4 linked regions of the Ovis aries genome follow. The protein of the gene in region 4 purifies or fractionates together with the protein of the main gene of each other region. This does not show direct contact. Links are inferred from orthologs where the notes say so. Each region holds a gene or a part of one and is shown on either strand. Other genes may lie near its edges.

The links. The genes of interacting proteins can lie anywhere in the genome.
Region 1: the proteins of SMAD3 (region 4) and USP15 purify together in Homo sapiens (affinity purification with western blotting; 4 studies listed by BioGRID). This does not show direct contact. The link is inferred for Ovis aries from reciprocal best matches to the Homo sapiens genes SMAD3 and USP15.
Region 2: the proteins of SMAD3 (region 4) and RUNX2 purify together in Homo sapiens (affinity purification with western blotting; 3 studies listed by BioGRID). This does not show direct contact. The link is inferred for Ovis aries from reciprocal best matches to the Homo sapiens genes SMAD3 and RUNX2.
Region 3: the proteins of SMAD3 (region 4) and LEMD3 purify together in Homo sapiens (affinity purification with mass spectrometry; 3 studies listed by BioGRID and IntAct, counting the BioPlex papers as one, with this or other methods). This does not show direct contact. The link is inferred for Ovis aries from reciprocal best matches to the Homo sapiens genes SMAD3 and LEMD3.

The regions. Positions count from the first base shown.
Region 1 is NC_056056.1:157,296,715-157,300,293, reverse strand, and holds part of USP15 (ubiquitin carboxyl-terminal hydrolase 15), read left to right. Parts: intron 1-1,390; coding exon 1,391-1,564; intron 1,565-3,036; coding exon 3,037-3,195; intron 3,196-3,273; coding exon 3,274-3,498; intron 3,499-3,579. UniProt on the Homo sapiens protein: Hydrolase that removes conjugated ubiquitin from target proteins and regulates various pathways such as the TGF-beta receptor signaling, NF-kappa-B and RNF41/NRDP1-PRKN pathways.
Region 2 is NC_056073.1:18,657,078-18,660,656, forward strand, and holds part of RUNX2 (runt-related transcription factor 2), read left to right. Parts: intron 1-944; exon of another isoform or gene 945-1,423; coding exon of another isoform or gene 1,424-1,439; coding exon 1,440-1,795; intron 1,796-2,728; exon of another isoform or gene 2,729-3,176; coding exon of another isoform or gene 3,177-3,260; intron 3,261-3,579. UniProt on the Homo sapiens protein: Transcription factor involved in osteoblastic differentiation and skeletal morphogenesis. Essential for the maturation of osteoblasts and both intramembranous and endochondral ossification.
Region 3 is NC_056056.1:154,714,588-154,717,703, forward strand, and holds part of LEMD3 (inner nuclear membrane protein Man1), read right to left. Parts: intron 2,055-3,116; coding exon 1,973-2,054; intron 189-1,972; coding exon 83-188; intron 1-82.
Region 4 is NC_056060.1:13,866,681-13,870,809, forward strand, and holds the start of SMAD3 (mothers against decapentaplegic homolog 3), read left to right. Parts: upstream 1-1,301; 5' UTR 1,302-1,848; coding exon 1,849-2,054; intron 2,055-4,129. UniProt on the Homo sapiens protein: Receptor-regulated SMAD (R-SMAD) that is an intracellular signal transducer and transcriptional modulator activated by TGF-beta (transforming growth factor) and activin type 1 receptor kinases.

The sequences.
Region 1 (3,579 bases), on a different chromosome or scaffold from region 4:
TCAGCGTAAACTCAGCAGGCTTAATTTTTCATAGTTACCAAGACTGTTTAACTTAGTTCTTATGAATGGTAAGCAAGCTTTGAAAAACTTTCATTTCCATTAATATAAATTCTGAACTCTCCTAAGAATGGGTTTCTACTACTTGCAAAGAGCTAGCTTCACTTAAAGCATTTTGTCACTGTGCTCCAAAACAAATATCTTCCTGTAGCCAAATAGTTACCTCTATGACTCTACGTCTGTGTCAGTCTTTACATATTCTACTTAGTGGCTCTAGACATCTAATTGATAAAGTAATATTGGGTTCAAAATGAAGTCAAATTATATAGCATTATCAACTTAAAATTATTTTAGCTTGAGATAAAATATTGTGGGAAAACTGTACTTCCACTGTCTATTTTATTTTAGATTCTAAATTATTCAAAATGGAACAGAGCTGGAGAATTAACTTATTCATAATTTTAATCATGCCATAAAGTAAAATTGGGTTGTTGTATTATTAAATAAGAGCTGGAAGAAGTAAGAATACTATTGGCCAGAGTTCACATAATAGAAGTTTGTTTTCTCAGACTCAGCTGATCTGTACTGTCCCTTCTAGAAAATGATTGACCCAAAAGGAAAACTTAGAAGGCTGCTCTTTTATGTTGATGAGTTGACAATGGAAGCAGTAAATATCTCTTTAAAGTTCATTTCTTCCTTGTGCTCCATCTCAGTTTTTAGCTCCTACTCAGGCTAATTGCGGAGAAGGCAATGGCACCCCACTCCAGTACTCTTGCCTGAAAAATCCCATGGACGGAGGAACCTGGTGGGCTACAGTCCATGGGGTCGCTAAGAGTCGGACACGACTGAGCGACTTCACTTTCACTTCTCACTTGCATGCATTGGAGAAGGAAACGGCAACCCACTCCAGTGTTCTTGCCTGGAGAATCCCAGGGATGGGGGAGCCTCGTGGGCTACCGTCTGTGGGGTCGCACAGAGTCGGACACGACTGAAGCGACTTAGCAGCAGTAGCAGCAGGCTAATTGGCAAATGCCTGGGATGGTTAGACAATCCATAATTTCTGCCAGGAAAAAAAACTCTGAACTTCTCTCCCAGTTAACCAGTAGTTTGCTGTGGTTAAAATTAATGTAGGTTTTGCAGCAACAAATATTAGCATTTTTGTTTACTATAAATAATTGACTTGAAATTTGGGAAATGAATAGTTGAGTACATCATTTGAATGTTTATTTGATTAGTTACTTATTAGTGCAAGAGGCCATCAATGTAAATTTTTTTCTCTCTCTCTCTCTCTCTCTCTCTCTCTATATATATATATATAATCACTTTGTTTCTGCATTTTAATGTTTAATATGTATGGTTTCTTTTACTTGAAAATATATTTTATTTTTTGCAGTGTTTGAGCAATACACCTCCACTTACTGAATATTTCCTGAATGATAAGTATCAAGACGAACTGAATTTTGACAATCCCTTAGGAATGAGAGGTGAAATAGCTAAATCTTATGCTGAATTGATCAAGCAAATGTGGTCTGGAAAGTTCAGCTATGTCACACCAAGAGCCTTTAAGGTTAGTATCTCAAATACATTTTCATCAAGGCGTTTTTACCCCCAAGAGGACAGACGTCTTTAGGAAAAGAGCAAAGAATCATAGCTATTACAGTGGTTTGTGGCCCTCCAGAGGGACTCAGCATATAAATAGATATGCAGCAAATAAAGTATTAAATTTTCAGGGTGGGGTACAGAAATAGATAATTAGTTTAAAATATCCAAAAAGAGTTCTGGGAGCTGTCAAAGGAAATAAATAAAAGTTGAGAAATGCAGGCATGGTTCAAAATGACGACAGACAGACAGCAGTGAGCACTTGCAGATTGTTTTAGAATACAGCATATCTCTAAGAAACCTACGTAAACATACAGAGGTAAAGACTAAATTTGAGCATGTCATTAAGCTCTAAGAACTCTTATTTTGAGAGTGATAAGTTTGAAAAATTACTGAAATTAGTCTGCAAAGCAAACACTAAATACTGAGTATGGTGATGGTGGTAGTTTAGTCACTAAGTCATGTCTGACTCTTGGCGACCCCGTGGACTGTAGCCCACCAGGCTCCTCTCTCCATGGGATTCTCCAGGCAAGAATATTGGATTGGGTTGCCATTTCCTCCTTCAGGACCTCTTCCCAGCAGTTTTCAATCACTTTTTATACAACTTAAATGATATTCTTATAGGAAATCAACTGGGCAACATTTTATTACTGTATACTAGTTCTTTAAAAATAAATAGCAACAAAGCAGAAAAGGTCCTACATTTGTTCCTTAACTTTCCAAACGTTGGACCAACTGGTTTAGACAAATCATTCCTCAGCCTTTATCCATAATTCCAGTTATTTTCATTTTACAAGATGTCCTCATTTAAAATTACATTGTAAATAGGTCCTTGATAACCTGACTTTTTTCTTTCACATTTCTTTTCAGTCTCATCAAAAAAATACTTAGCACTGCAATGGCTAGAAAAATTATATATGAGCATGAATATTCCTTTTGTCTCTATGAGATTTATCCTCTTTAAACACAGAAGCTGAATGAGAGCACTGTAGTTTTCAAGTGACCCAAAAATGTTACTGAATTTTAAGTCTGTGTGTGTGTGTGAGCTCAGTCATATTCGACACTTTGCAACCCCATGAACTGTAGCCCACCAGGCTTCCTCTGTTCATGGAATTGCTTCCACTAAGAGCAAGTCTTTAGTGTTTCCCAATTCTTTGTACAAAACTGCAACGTTTTCTCATTGTTCTTCGCTCAGGTCAATGTTTCTTTTCTATTTTACAGCTTAGTTACCATTATTAAAATATTTTTAGATATGTAATTATTTGTGTGTATTTACCCGTATGTAATTATCGTATCTGCAAATTACTGGAAAAGTGCCACAGGTTGATTTCAGGATTACAAATAAATTTTAGGAAGTAGATGAATTCACAGATATGGATTATCGACTATATATTTTTTTAAATCCCTAGAACTGATTTTATAGTTTTGCTTTTTTTACAGACACAAGTAGGACGTTTTGCACCTCAGTTCTCTGGATACCAGCAGCAGGACTGTCAAGAACTATTAGCTTTCCTATTAGATGGACTACATGAGGATTTGAATAGAATTAGGAAAAAACCATATATACAATTAAAAGATGCTGATGGAAGACCAGATAAGGTAAATTTAACCATATTATTGTCACATTGTTACAATAATGTGATATCTCTGTGTAATATGTGTCTGTTTTCCTTATAGGTAGTTGCTGAAGAAGCCTGGGAAAACCATTTAAAAAGAAATGATTCTATCATAGTAGATATATTTCATGGCCTTTTTAAATCAACTTTAGTATGTCCGGAATGTGCTAAGATTTCAGTAACATTTGATCCTTTCTGTTACTTGACACTTCCATTGCCCATGAAGAAGGAACGTACCTTGGAAGTTTATTTAGTTAGAATGGATCCACTTACCAAACCTATGCAGGCAAGTAATGATTCTTTTCTTGGCATTTGTTAGTTCTGAGTCCTTATGCCTTAAGTTCAGTTCAGTTCAGTCACTCAGTCG
Region 2 (3,579 bases), on a different chromosome or scaffold from region 4:
GGAAAACTGCTGGGGTTTTCCCCCAGCGAGGGTTTTTGCAACTTATTTTAATCATCAAGCTGACAGTTTTCCAGTGCTTAAAAAAACTCATCCTTGTTCTCTAGGAACGACTAGTTTGAATATAGAAGGAAAAAGTGTCCAACACCCACTTGCGTTTCTAAAACTATTTTGACAAGTGTCCCCTCCATCCCAAATTTTTGTGTCACTTAAGTGAAAAAAAAAAAAAAAGAAAAAGAAACACACCCAAACCCTGCAAAATCTTTTTTTTCCCTAGGGAGCCGCTCCGGCAGAGGTGGGGGGGGGGGTAGGGTGGGGGAAGGGTGAAGAGTGCTGAGAAGTCAGCACAGACGCTCAAGAATTTTCCTTCCTCCTCTCCTGAAGTTAAAACGAAAAATAACGACAGTCAGATCAGCCAGCGGCTCTCTGGCATCTCAGCTTCAATCTCCCTGGACCAAGAAGGGGGTTCCTTGTCCTGGGAGGAGAGGGCGAGAAGCAAGAAGACGCGACCCGGCGAGATCCCGCTAGCCCGGGGCCGCCTCTCTCGGCTTCCGAAGCTGCGCGCGGCGTCCCGGGGGCTCCTTCTCGCGGCCGGCGGGCGGCGGCAGCGGCTGCGATTCGTAGCCTCGAGATCCGTTGCCCCGAGATCCGCTGCCCGCGACTTACCTCCTGGCACCTCGAAGCGCGAGGGTCAGGGGAGCTTTGCAAAAATCAGGAGGGAGTGGATGCGAGGAGGTGGCGGTGAGAGGGCGAGAAGAGGAGAAGGGAAAGGAAAGAGCCGGACCGGGGAGCCGGGCTGGCAGCCGCCGCGGGAGGAATCTGAGTGCGCAGCCGGCGCGGGGGGAGCGGCGGCCGCCGCGGAGGAGGCGGCGGCGGCGGCGGCGGCAGCGGCGCGGGCGGGCGGGCGGCGGCGCGGACGCCTGCAGCCGGGTAGCTGCGCGCGGCGCGGAGCGGCGGTGGCGGGCAGCGCGCGGCGATCCTGGCCTCGGGGCTGGACTGCTGAACCCACTGGGCTCCACCGCCGGACTCGAACTGGGAGGGGGCGCCAGCGCACCCAGGACGCGGTGCCCCAGGGGGCCCCACTCCAAGTTGCTGCAGACTGAAGCCTCCCGCCTGCCCGGGCCAGACACGTCCCGGTGCTCGTTCGCAGCTGCCACCCCGGGTGTTCCAAAGGCTCCATCAAGACCTGCGCCTCTCGGGTCTCCCCAACCGCCAAGCCGACTGCTCCGCAACGCCGCCGCTGGCTCCCGTCAGACTCCGCCCGGCAGTCGGCTTCATCGAACTTGATTTCTCACCTCCTCAGCCCCATCACCTCCAGCCCCTTTTCCCCCGTCTGGCCTCCACCCCCCCAATTTCCTCCTCCTCGCCCCTCATTTCCACCCTCCTCCCCCTCCCCCGGCCACTTCGCTAACTTGTGGCTGTTGTGATGCGTATTCCCGTAGATCCGAGCACCAGCCGGCGCTTCAGCCCCCCCTCCAGCAGCCTGCAGCCCGGCAAGATGAGCGACGTGAGCCCGGTGGTGGCTGCGCAGCAGCAGCAACAACAGCAGCAGCAGCAACAGCAGCAGCAGCAACAGCAGCAGCAACAGCAGGAGGCGGCGGCGGCGGCGGCGGCGGCGGCGGCGGCGGCAGCGGCGGCCGCGGTGCCCCGGTTGCGGCCGCCGCACGACAACCGCACCATGGTGGAGATCATCGCTGACCACCCGGCCGAACTAGTCCGCACCGACAGCCCCAACTTCCTGTGCTCCGTGCTGCCCTCGCACTGGCGCTGCAACAAGACCCTGCCCGTGGCCTTCAAGGTAAGAAACTGCGGCTGCCCCCCGCCCCACCCCCGCCCCCGGCTCGGCGCCGCCGGACCTGCCCGCAGGCGTCTCCGAGCCCGCGGGGGCCCGGGTCCCGACCCGGGAGGCCTCCAAGGCTCGTACCTCGGTGGCTCCGACCTGAGGGACCCCCGCCTGGCCCTTTTCCTCGGGATCCCCCAGCTGGGCTCGCCGCGTTAGTGGTCCCGCACAGATGCTTCCCTCTCCCACTTGTGCCCGAAGCCACCACCTCCGCCCGTGTCCCCTCTATCCGTTCATCACCCCTCGAGCCGCCCGGCCAAAGTCCCGACGCACTCCTCTGAGCCGCTCTCCCCTCCCACAGGAATCCCCCGGTGCCCACTCTCGGAGCCGCCGCCGGGACGAGCTCCACCCCGCCCCCCACTCCTCCGGGGCGAGGATCCCCGGCGTTCTCCCCTGAGACTCCCGCGCCCCGGTCCCCGGCATCCCGGCTGAACCCGACCGCGGGCCGCCGCGCCGCCCCGCCTCGGGATTCCGCGGGCTCCGACCCTCTCCTCCCCTCCCTCCCAAACGCCCTCCGCCCGTCTCGGCGCCCCACTCTCTGACCGGCTTGCGCCGTGGCTGTCCCGGCCCCTCCCGGGCTCGGGGGCCAGTGTTAGCGGGGTGCCGGCGCCGGGCGTTCGCGCCCGGGGCGGGGCGCCGGGTGCCGGTTGCTGGCGGCGGCGCGTGGGCCGCGTTGCGGGTGTCCAAGAGGGTCCGGGCAAATTTAGGGTCTCGGGGAGCAAGGGATGGGAAGGCGGGACGGGGGCGTCCTCAGCCTGCAGACCCTCGCCGATTCCCGCTGCAGAGGAAGGCGGGGCCGCCGGGGTCGCCGCGCGCCCGGAGGCGGGGGAGCCCGGGAGTCCCGGGAGCCAGACCCTCGAGTGCGAGGCGGCGCGGGCTGCTGGAGGGGGCGGGGGCTCGCCGCGCCGCGAGGCCGAAGGGAAACCTGCGAAATGCCTTCGGCTCGCCCGCCTTGAAAACTGAGGTGACGCTGTGAGATTTGCCTTATTCTTTCTTTTGAGGACTCAGACCCCAGAGGTCCCTCCCGCTTCTGAAAGGTCGTGGGAGGCTCGGGTCCGCGACCCGGGCGCCGCGGCAGTGACCACCCCCCCAGGCTGGAGAGCACCCCGCGCGCGTCCTGCGGCGGCCTCCTCGGTCCGCCTGGCCCGTTAGTTTGAGGGCGGATGTCAGCAGCCGGAGTCGCGGGCAGCGGCTCGGCACGTTGAGGGTCCGGAGTCTCTCTGTGATGCAATTGGGGTCCCCCCGTGCCCGGCAGCCCTCGCCCCCTCGCAGAGCGCCCCGGGTTGCTGGAGAGACGAGGTACCCAGGCCCTTCCTCCTCGAGGGATTAGGCGCTTGGGATGGAGGGGGCGGTGAGCCAGACGCGGAGGAGAGGGCTCGCAGAAAGATGCTTCCGGTCCAGTCTAGCCTCTGAACCCGCGAAGGTGGGCCTGGGTCCCTTGGGTTCTGGGATTGTGGAGAGCAGGGTAAGCCAGGCCTTGGGGTGGGGTGAAGGGGGGAGGGAGGAATCCCGCCAGTTCCTCCCTTGTGGACCCTGGGGCCAAACTCCCACGGGCCAGTGGCAGTTCCCTGTTGTTGACCACCCCCCTGCGCCACGCACCAATTCAGATTCCGTGTGTGGGTGGGGTGGAACGAAAGAGGAGTCCAGGTCAATTAGAGCTGGTTATCTCGCTAGGTCTTCTATCAGAGCAGGAATCAGAATGAATTATTATGGAAAGGGGATGTTGCATTCTGAGGCAAGTT
Region 3 (3,116 bases), on a different chromosome or scaffold from region 4:
AAAACAAAAAGGAAGAAAGAAAGAGTCTTAGTTTAATAGCAATAATTCAACATGAAGAATTCAATAGTGAAAGCTACTTTACCTCACGAGAGTTCTTGTCTACTGCAATGTGAACAATGCCATCGTTATCACTGCATTTTTCTAAAATTGCTTCTTGAATTGCCAAATGCCACTGATCCCCTATTTCCCTAAAAAATTAATGAAAAAAAAATCAACAGCCACATTCCTACTCAGAAAGCAGTTTTCTGTCTCTTCAATGAGTGCATACTAAGTTGCTTCAGTTGTGTCTGACTCTGCAACCCCATGGACCGTAGCCTGGCAGGCTCCTCTGTCCATGGGATTCTCCAGGCAAGAATACTGGAGTGGGTTGCCATGCCCTCCTCCAGGGGATCTTTCTGACCCAGGGATTGAACCGGTGTCTCTTATGTCTCCTGCATTGGCAGGTGGGTTCTTTACCACTAGCATCACCATATACCTAACTAGAATTAGGACAGCTTAAAAACCATATATTGTAAAAAACTAACAGTATATAAATGCTTGTTACTAGCAGTAGGTAGATTTTAAAAATGTTGGCATTCAGAAGTCCCAGCTATGTTCTCACTTTCCGGTGTAAGAATGTACAAGCTGAGGCACTGAAGGATCAGCCTACCATAGCAAGAAGGATCAGCCTACCATAGTAAGATAAATATGTTTTCAATTTTATGTTTAAAATCCTTTGCACTTATAGTCATTTCTCTTTTCTATCTAAATAAGTGTTAACAAACACTTCAATGAGTTGTGGTAAACTTATAAAAGTTAAGGATTATTTTTTAATGACATTTTCAAATTCCTAACTTAAGGAAAATTCTTAGTAAATATTATATTCTGAGCTGTTTTTTCCCAAAATATTAGAAACTTTATACAGGACAAACATTTTGCAAAAATAAGTCACTTTACTATTATGAAAGAGGTTCTGTTATAGTAACACACATTTGTCTTTCTTGTGAGATACAGATGGTGGGGCAGAGGAAAAGGCCATTCCACTTCAAATCATAAATCTTCATCTCAGGTAATAAAGTACTGGGCTGGCACAGACTTCCTAATCTCTAAGGTATGGGGTGAGACTCCCAGTAGAGGGATCACCACACTGTCATTTCTACCTCTGCAAAACGAAGGGGGTGCGTGTGTGTGTGTATGCTGACAGTGCTTTGTCACATTAACAATTTCGCTGTTATTTAGTCTATCATATTAACTATTTCTTGAAATAAATGAGTTATCAGATGGGAATTATACATATTTTATACATAAGACAATTTCCACTATCAGCTTTTTTTAAAAAACAAACAAACAGAATTTGATTTGTCCTATTATTGGACAGATAAGCAGTCACCTCTAGGAAGCAAATTCTAAAGATTATTACAGCTTATATGTAAAATATTATGGATTTTAAAGAAATAACTTTTGACTAGACTATTTTCAGGAATGCACGTGTCACTGTAATTAAAAGAAAAGTAATTAATAGAAAAGTTTCTCAATGGTAAATGGACATAAAAGTTCCTCAAATATTGCAATGACAGGTAGACAAATCTTATAGAAAGGAGGGTATGTACATCTTTCGTAGAAAACTTCTTATAATAAGGGTTTGGAAATTTTAAGACAGCAGATATTTTTATTTATATTGCCTACAGAGGCAAAGAGTGGTGGCAAACATGACATACATTTAATAAAGGATACTGTTATTTATCATCATATTTGTCATTAATCTGATTCAACCATCTGTCTTCTATAGATTCACAGTAAAACAAAGATTTTAAAAAGTTTTTCAAATCATTATACACCTGTGTCTTTTCGGAAAGCTTTGTTTCAAATTTTGGTAGTTAAGATTCAGAAGTAAAAGAGATTTTTCAATCATAGACACAGCATTATAAGACTATCATGTATTTTTCATCCAGATATTTAAAAAATTGCATGCACCTTTTGTCATAATACTTACATAACTGGATCAAACATATTTCGAATCTTCAGACATGGTGTCAAACTATTTGGTGGTGAATTTCTTCTATCTAAATGAAATGCTATAGAAAAACAAATTAGTTTTACTATTTTCCACTGTTCCATTTTATTGAAAGGTATTCAGTCAATTCGTTCAAAAAATATTCACTGCATGCTTTTACTATGAGCTAGATCCTTGGATCAAGGTGAAAAAGACAGACACACTCACAAGACAGACACAGAGTCACTGATCTCACACTTTACAGTAGTGGAGACAGATGAAAAACAGTATCACCAAAGAAATTATAACTGTGGCAAATTCTAAGAAAGAAGGGTATAGAAAGCTGTCAATGTATGTACTTAAGCCCATTTGTGAATATCAGATAACACTAAGGAGGGTGTACCTATGGTTGATACTTGTTGATGTATGACAGAAAACCACAAAACGCTGTAAAGTAATTATCTTTCAATTAAAAAAGAAAACATTTATGCTGAAATCTAAAGAATAAATAAACATAGGCAGAATAAAGAAAGGTGTAAAGGACATCTAAAGCAAAGGTGACAGCTTATACAAAGCCCAAGGCAAGAAGGAACTTGATATATTCAAATAACTAAAAGACAGTCACTGTGACTAGAGATGGAACAACAGAAAGATAACCCTGAAGATGCTGGATTATGGAGGACTATGTAAACTGCATTAAAGTACTTGGATATTACCATAAGGGCAATGGGAATCCACTCAAATGTTTTAAGGACAGGAATAGTAAGATGGGATCTCTTAAAATTTTTACATAGACTGTTATGTGGAAAATAGATGGAAATAAGAAGTGAATGCAAGGAGACCAGTTAGAGGTTATTATGTTGTCCAAGAGGGAGATGATAGTAATGTGGATAAGACAGGTCAATGATGAAGATGGAAATAAGTGGACAGAATCAGGACATTATGGAATAGATTTGACATGACTTGTTTAATGACTTGTTTAATGTAGAGACTAAGGGAGAGATTAAGGATGACTCCCTGGTTTTTGACAGAACTGACTGAAGAGGGGACGGTATCATTAATTAAACAGGACACTGGAGGAGAGGTCAGTCTGGAGAAAGATGACATTATGTTCGTGCATGTGTTGAAAGTCTGGCACTTCTTA
Region 4 (4,129 bases):
CCTGCCAGAGCTCATTTTCTCCTTCCAGGCAGGGACCCCTGCAGCTTCTGGGCTGACATTGTGGATTAGGCCACACCTCACAGGGCTCTGTAACTCCCCACCCGCTAGAGGGTTTGCGGATCACTTCTTTCTCACCAAGGGAGTTTCCTGCTGTTAAAAACAAACAAAGGCTAAGAGGTCTGGTAGGGGAGGGGCTGCAGGAGAAAGGCCCTGGGGGCCTGGGGTAACTCCTGACAGCCACCGAGTGAGGGGTCTGTGGGTAGACGCCCCTGAATTGTGTTCATGGAGAGAAAAGCCCCAGAGCGCCCCCAATATCCTGGTGTTCCTCTGCTTCCCACCGAAGCTAATTTGGAATATATAAGGTCCCCGAAGACTGCCCTTTTGCTCCACTTGTTGCGAGTTCACAGCTTTGAAAACAAAACTCTCTCCTATTTTACTGGGTGTTGAATTTCGGATACTTTGTTTCCCATAGGATTCCAGCACCCTGTAATGAAACTTTTCCTCTACAGATAAGTTCTAAGGCTCCCCCATTCATTTCTTCCTGAGCTTAACGAATGCCTCTGAGGCCCATTTTCTGCGGGGCACTTGATTCCCAAAGGTCCAAGGGACCCCTGACTCCAGCTATTATCCAGGGAGTCACTGGGGTCCCCAAATCGGCACCTCTGAGAGCCTCTCCCTAATCCGGCCCTGGGGCTCTAAACTGGAACGGTCTCTCTGGTGCGAGAATAAAAACAGCCCCCCGAGTCCCCGGCGCCGCCACGGCCCCTGACCGGGATCGGCGCACCAGCGTCCTGGTGCGCGCCCCGACTTCCTGGGCCTCAGCCTTCCGCGCGTCCTCCCTCGAACCGGGGTCCTCCCAGGAGCGCACCGCCTGCCTGTGGCCAGCCCGCTCTCGTTCGTTCGTGCGGGTCTAACCCTCGGGCCCGCCACTCCAGCTGGGTTTCCTGAGTGTGGGTTCCGAGAGCGGACGCCACGACCCGAGCCCGGCCCTCCCGCCAGGGGCCCTTCTCGCCGCTCCTTTCCCACGACTTCCTCCCGGCGTCCGCTGGACTTCAGGTCGGGGCCGCGCGGGGTCCTGCGCGCTCCAGCCCTGGCGGCCGCTGTCCCAGGTCGCCCACGTGGGCGTGCTCCGCGCCGGGCGGGGGAAAGGCCAGGAGCCCTCCCGGAGGCTGGGGGTTGGGGGGGGGGCGAGCAAGGCGCCCGCAGGAGGAGGCGGCGGGGCGCGGGGGAGGAGGCGGGGAGCCCCAGCGGCAAGGGGGCGGTGACAGCGCTTGGAAAGGAGGCTGCACGCGGATTTGCATGAAACACAGACTGGGAGCGGGCGGGAGCAAGAGCGCGGCGCACGCCCCGGGCCGGCCCAGCTAGCGAGCGAGCCGGGAAGGAGGAGGGCAGCGGGGAGGCGAGGCTGCCGAGGCGGAGGGATCTGCGCATCAAAGCGAGCGAGGCGAGCAAAGTTTGGCTGGGGGTTGGACTTTCCTTCCTGGAGGCGGCACCCAAACAGCCACCCCGTGCGGAAACCCAAACTTTCTTCTGCCACTCCGGTCCCCGCGGCCGCCGCCTCCGCCCCGCGTCCCAGGCCTTCCCGATCTCGCTTCGCTACTGCCTGCCCGCCGCCCCGCCGTCCTTCTCCCCGCCGTGGGAGACGCCCGGGGCGCAGGGCCGCGCGCCGAGCCCCGCCGGCTGCAGCGCCGCGGCCGGGCCTGGAGAACCAGCAAGTTCGCCGAGAGTTGAAGCGAAGTTTGGGCGGCCGCAGCCGGCCCGGGCTGAGCTCCCCGCTGCGCCCCCGGCGTCCCGCCGCGCCTAGCCCCGCCGGGGGCGCTCCTCGCAGCTCGCGCGCCCTCCTCAACCATGTCGTCCATCCTGCCTTTCACGCCCCCGATCGTGAAGCGCTTGCTGGGCTGGAAAAAGGGCGAGCAGAACGGGCAGGAGGAGAAGTGGTGCGAGAAGGCAGTCAAGAGTTTGGTCAAGAAGCTCAAGAAGACGGGGCAGCTGGACGAGCTGGAGAAAGCCATCACCACGCAGAACGTCAACACCAAGTGCATCACCATCCCCAGGTGGGGGCTGGAGGGACCTCGGGGCGCGCCCGCCCGGCCCCATAGCGTGGCGGGGCCGGCCTGGTGGGACTGGAGCGGGAGGGATTGTGTGTGTGTGTATACGAGGGGTGGGAACGCAGGCAGGAAGCGGGCGAAGGGGGACCCCAAACAAAACCTTTTCTGGAATTGCAAAGATTCAGAGCCCGGGAGTTCCACGCGGCACTCGCTCCCCTAGACCCCGCATTGGCATTTCACCTCCGGGAAAGGGGGTGCTGCAGGATGCCCCCCCCCCCACACACACACCTCGGGGAGCTGCGGGATAGAACTTGAGGCCCGCTTTGTTCGGCTCCGCGGGCCCGAGCCCCTCCTCCGCCGCCGCCTCCCGCCCCCGCGGCCCGCGCTCGTGGAGGTGGTGGTGTCTCTCCCTTTCTTTTCTTCATTCCTGTCCCCCCACTTCTTTCCTTCTCGACAGGAATGCAGTCCGTACAGCTGGGGCTGTGGGTGAGGAGCGGGAGCCTCGTGATTGACAGATTCCTTCTTCGTTCTCTCTTTGCCTTCGGGATTAGCATTTTTATCGAGTATTTTTAGATTCGGTTGTGCCAGTCTCCCGCCCCCTCCGCACACACGCACTTTAGTTGCAGCGGAGTGCTCTGACTTTCAAATGAGAGAGATAAGTGGCGGAGAGTGGGGTCTTCTCCCCCGCCTCCCGCGGCTGTTTTTTGCCCTTCTTTCAGTCTGAGATTTCGGGTGGGTGCCGAAAGGAGGGGGTTTGGAGCCGAGGAGATAACAAAACGCACCCTGAAGTGGGCCTCGCATCGGCCCTCGCATTCCTACGGAGCCCTCCTTCCCAAAGCGCTTTGCCATCTGTCTGGACCTCCTTTATCCTCCACTTCGCGCTAGCTAGGTCTGGCAGGAGCTCACAGATGGCTGATAGAAGGGGTCAGTGACTTCTCTCCACTCCCCACGGCCTTCTCTTAGCTTAGCTGCGCCTGGCTGGAAATTGGGATGTGTTGAGGGGGGAGGTATCTTAGCTTTCTGTGTCTCCCTCTTAGCCCCCTTTGAACGTCTTAATTGTGTACTGAGGGAGAGTCTGTGTGTGTGAGTAGGGGTCCCTGGCTGTGGAGGAATGAGCAGAGGGTCCCCGGGGCCAGAGCTCCACATAAATTGTCCCTCCTGATGCTGGGCCAGAAGTGGACTCCGTCCTTGGCCACCTGCTCGGGGCAGCTGTACGCCGGCCGCCAGCCGTGTCAGGCAGGCACAAAGCAACATCTGTCCACGGAAACCCAGAGCCGGCCTCCTCTGGAAATAAATGCCACATATGGTGGGAGTGCGGACTTGAAAAATAATAATTTTTTTTCTTCAAAACTGGGTGGGTCCAGCCAATAAAGCGGGAAGGAAGGTGGTGTGCTGTCTGGGAAGTGTGCTCTGGTGTATGATGGGGAGCCGGAATTGACTTCAGAGGAGGTGGTGTGATGTGATGGTCAGGGAGCCCGAGGTCCTGGTCTCAGCCCTGGTTCTTCCTTCTTTATTACTTTAGGTGAGGGGTAGGGAGTAGGGTAAATGAATGTCATACTTCTCCCTCCTGGAGAGAATCTGCCTTCTTACCTGCCTGAGGGCGCTGAGGACAAGTGCTTTTTTATGTTTTGAGACAGAAAAAAAAAAAAAAAAAATCAGTATCCAGTATAAAACGAACAGCTGCATGAATTGTTTCACAGTTTACAAAAGACTTTCATATGCTTTTAGGAGATCAAGAAAAAGAAACTCCTGGAAAATAGATAAGGCAATTAATTAGGCCTAAGACTGATCCCATTTTCAAAGTTGAGAAAACTCTGGAGGAGAGAGGTGAAAAGGCTTGGCATAGCAAAACATGCCATTCTGACCAAATGTGCCCCTTCTGCTTACCATGGCTCCTCTTCAGTTTGAAGGGTCTGAATACATTCTTTGCTGATGGCTACAGGGTGGGCCCTGGGGAGAGGCCTGGCTCCCACTTGCCTTGGTAGGAGTTTGCCCTCTGGGAAAGCATAGCTGTGGCCTGCCTTTTCCTCTTCCAGTGTTTTCCGCAGCCTGGGGCATATGGACACTTGGGTTGTTCCTGA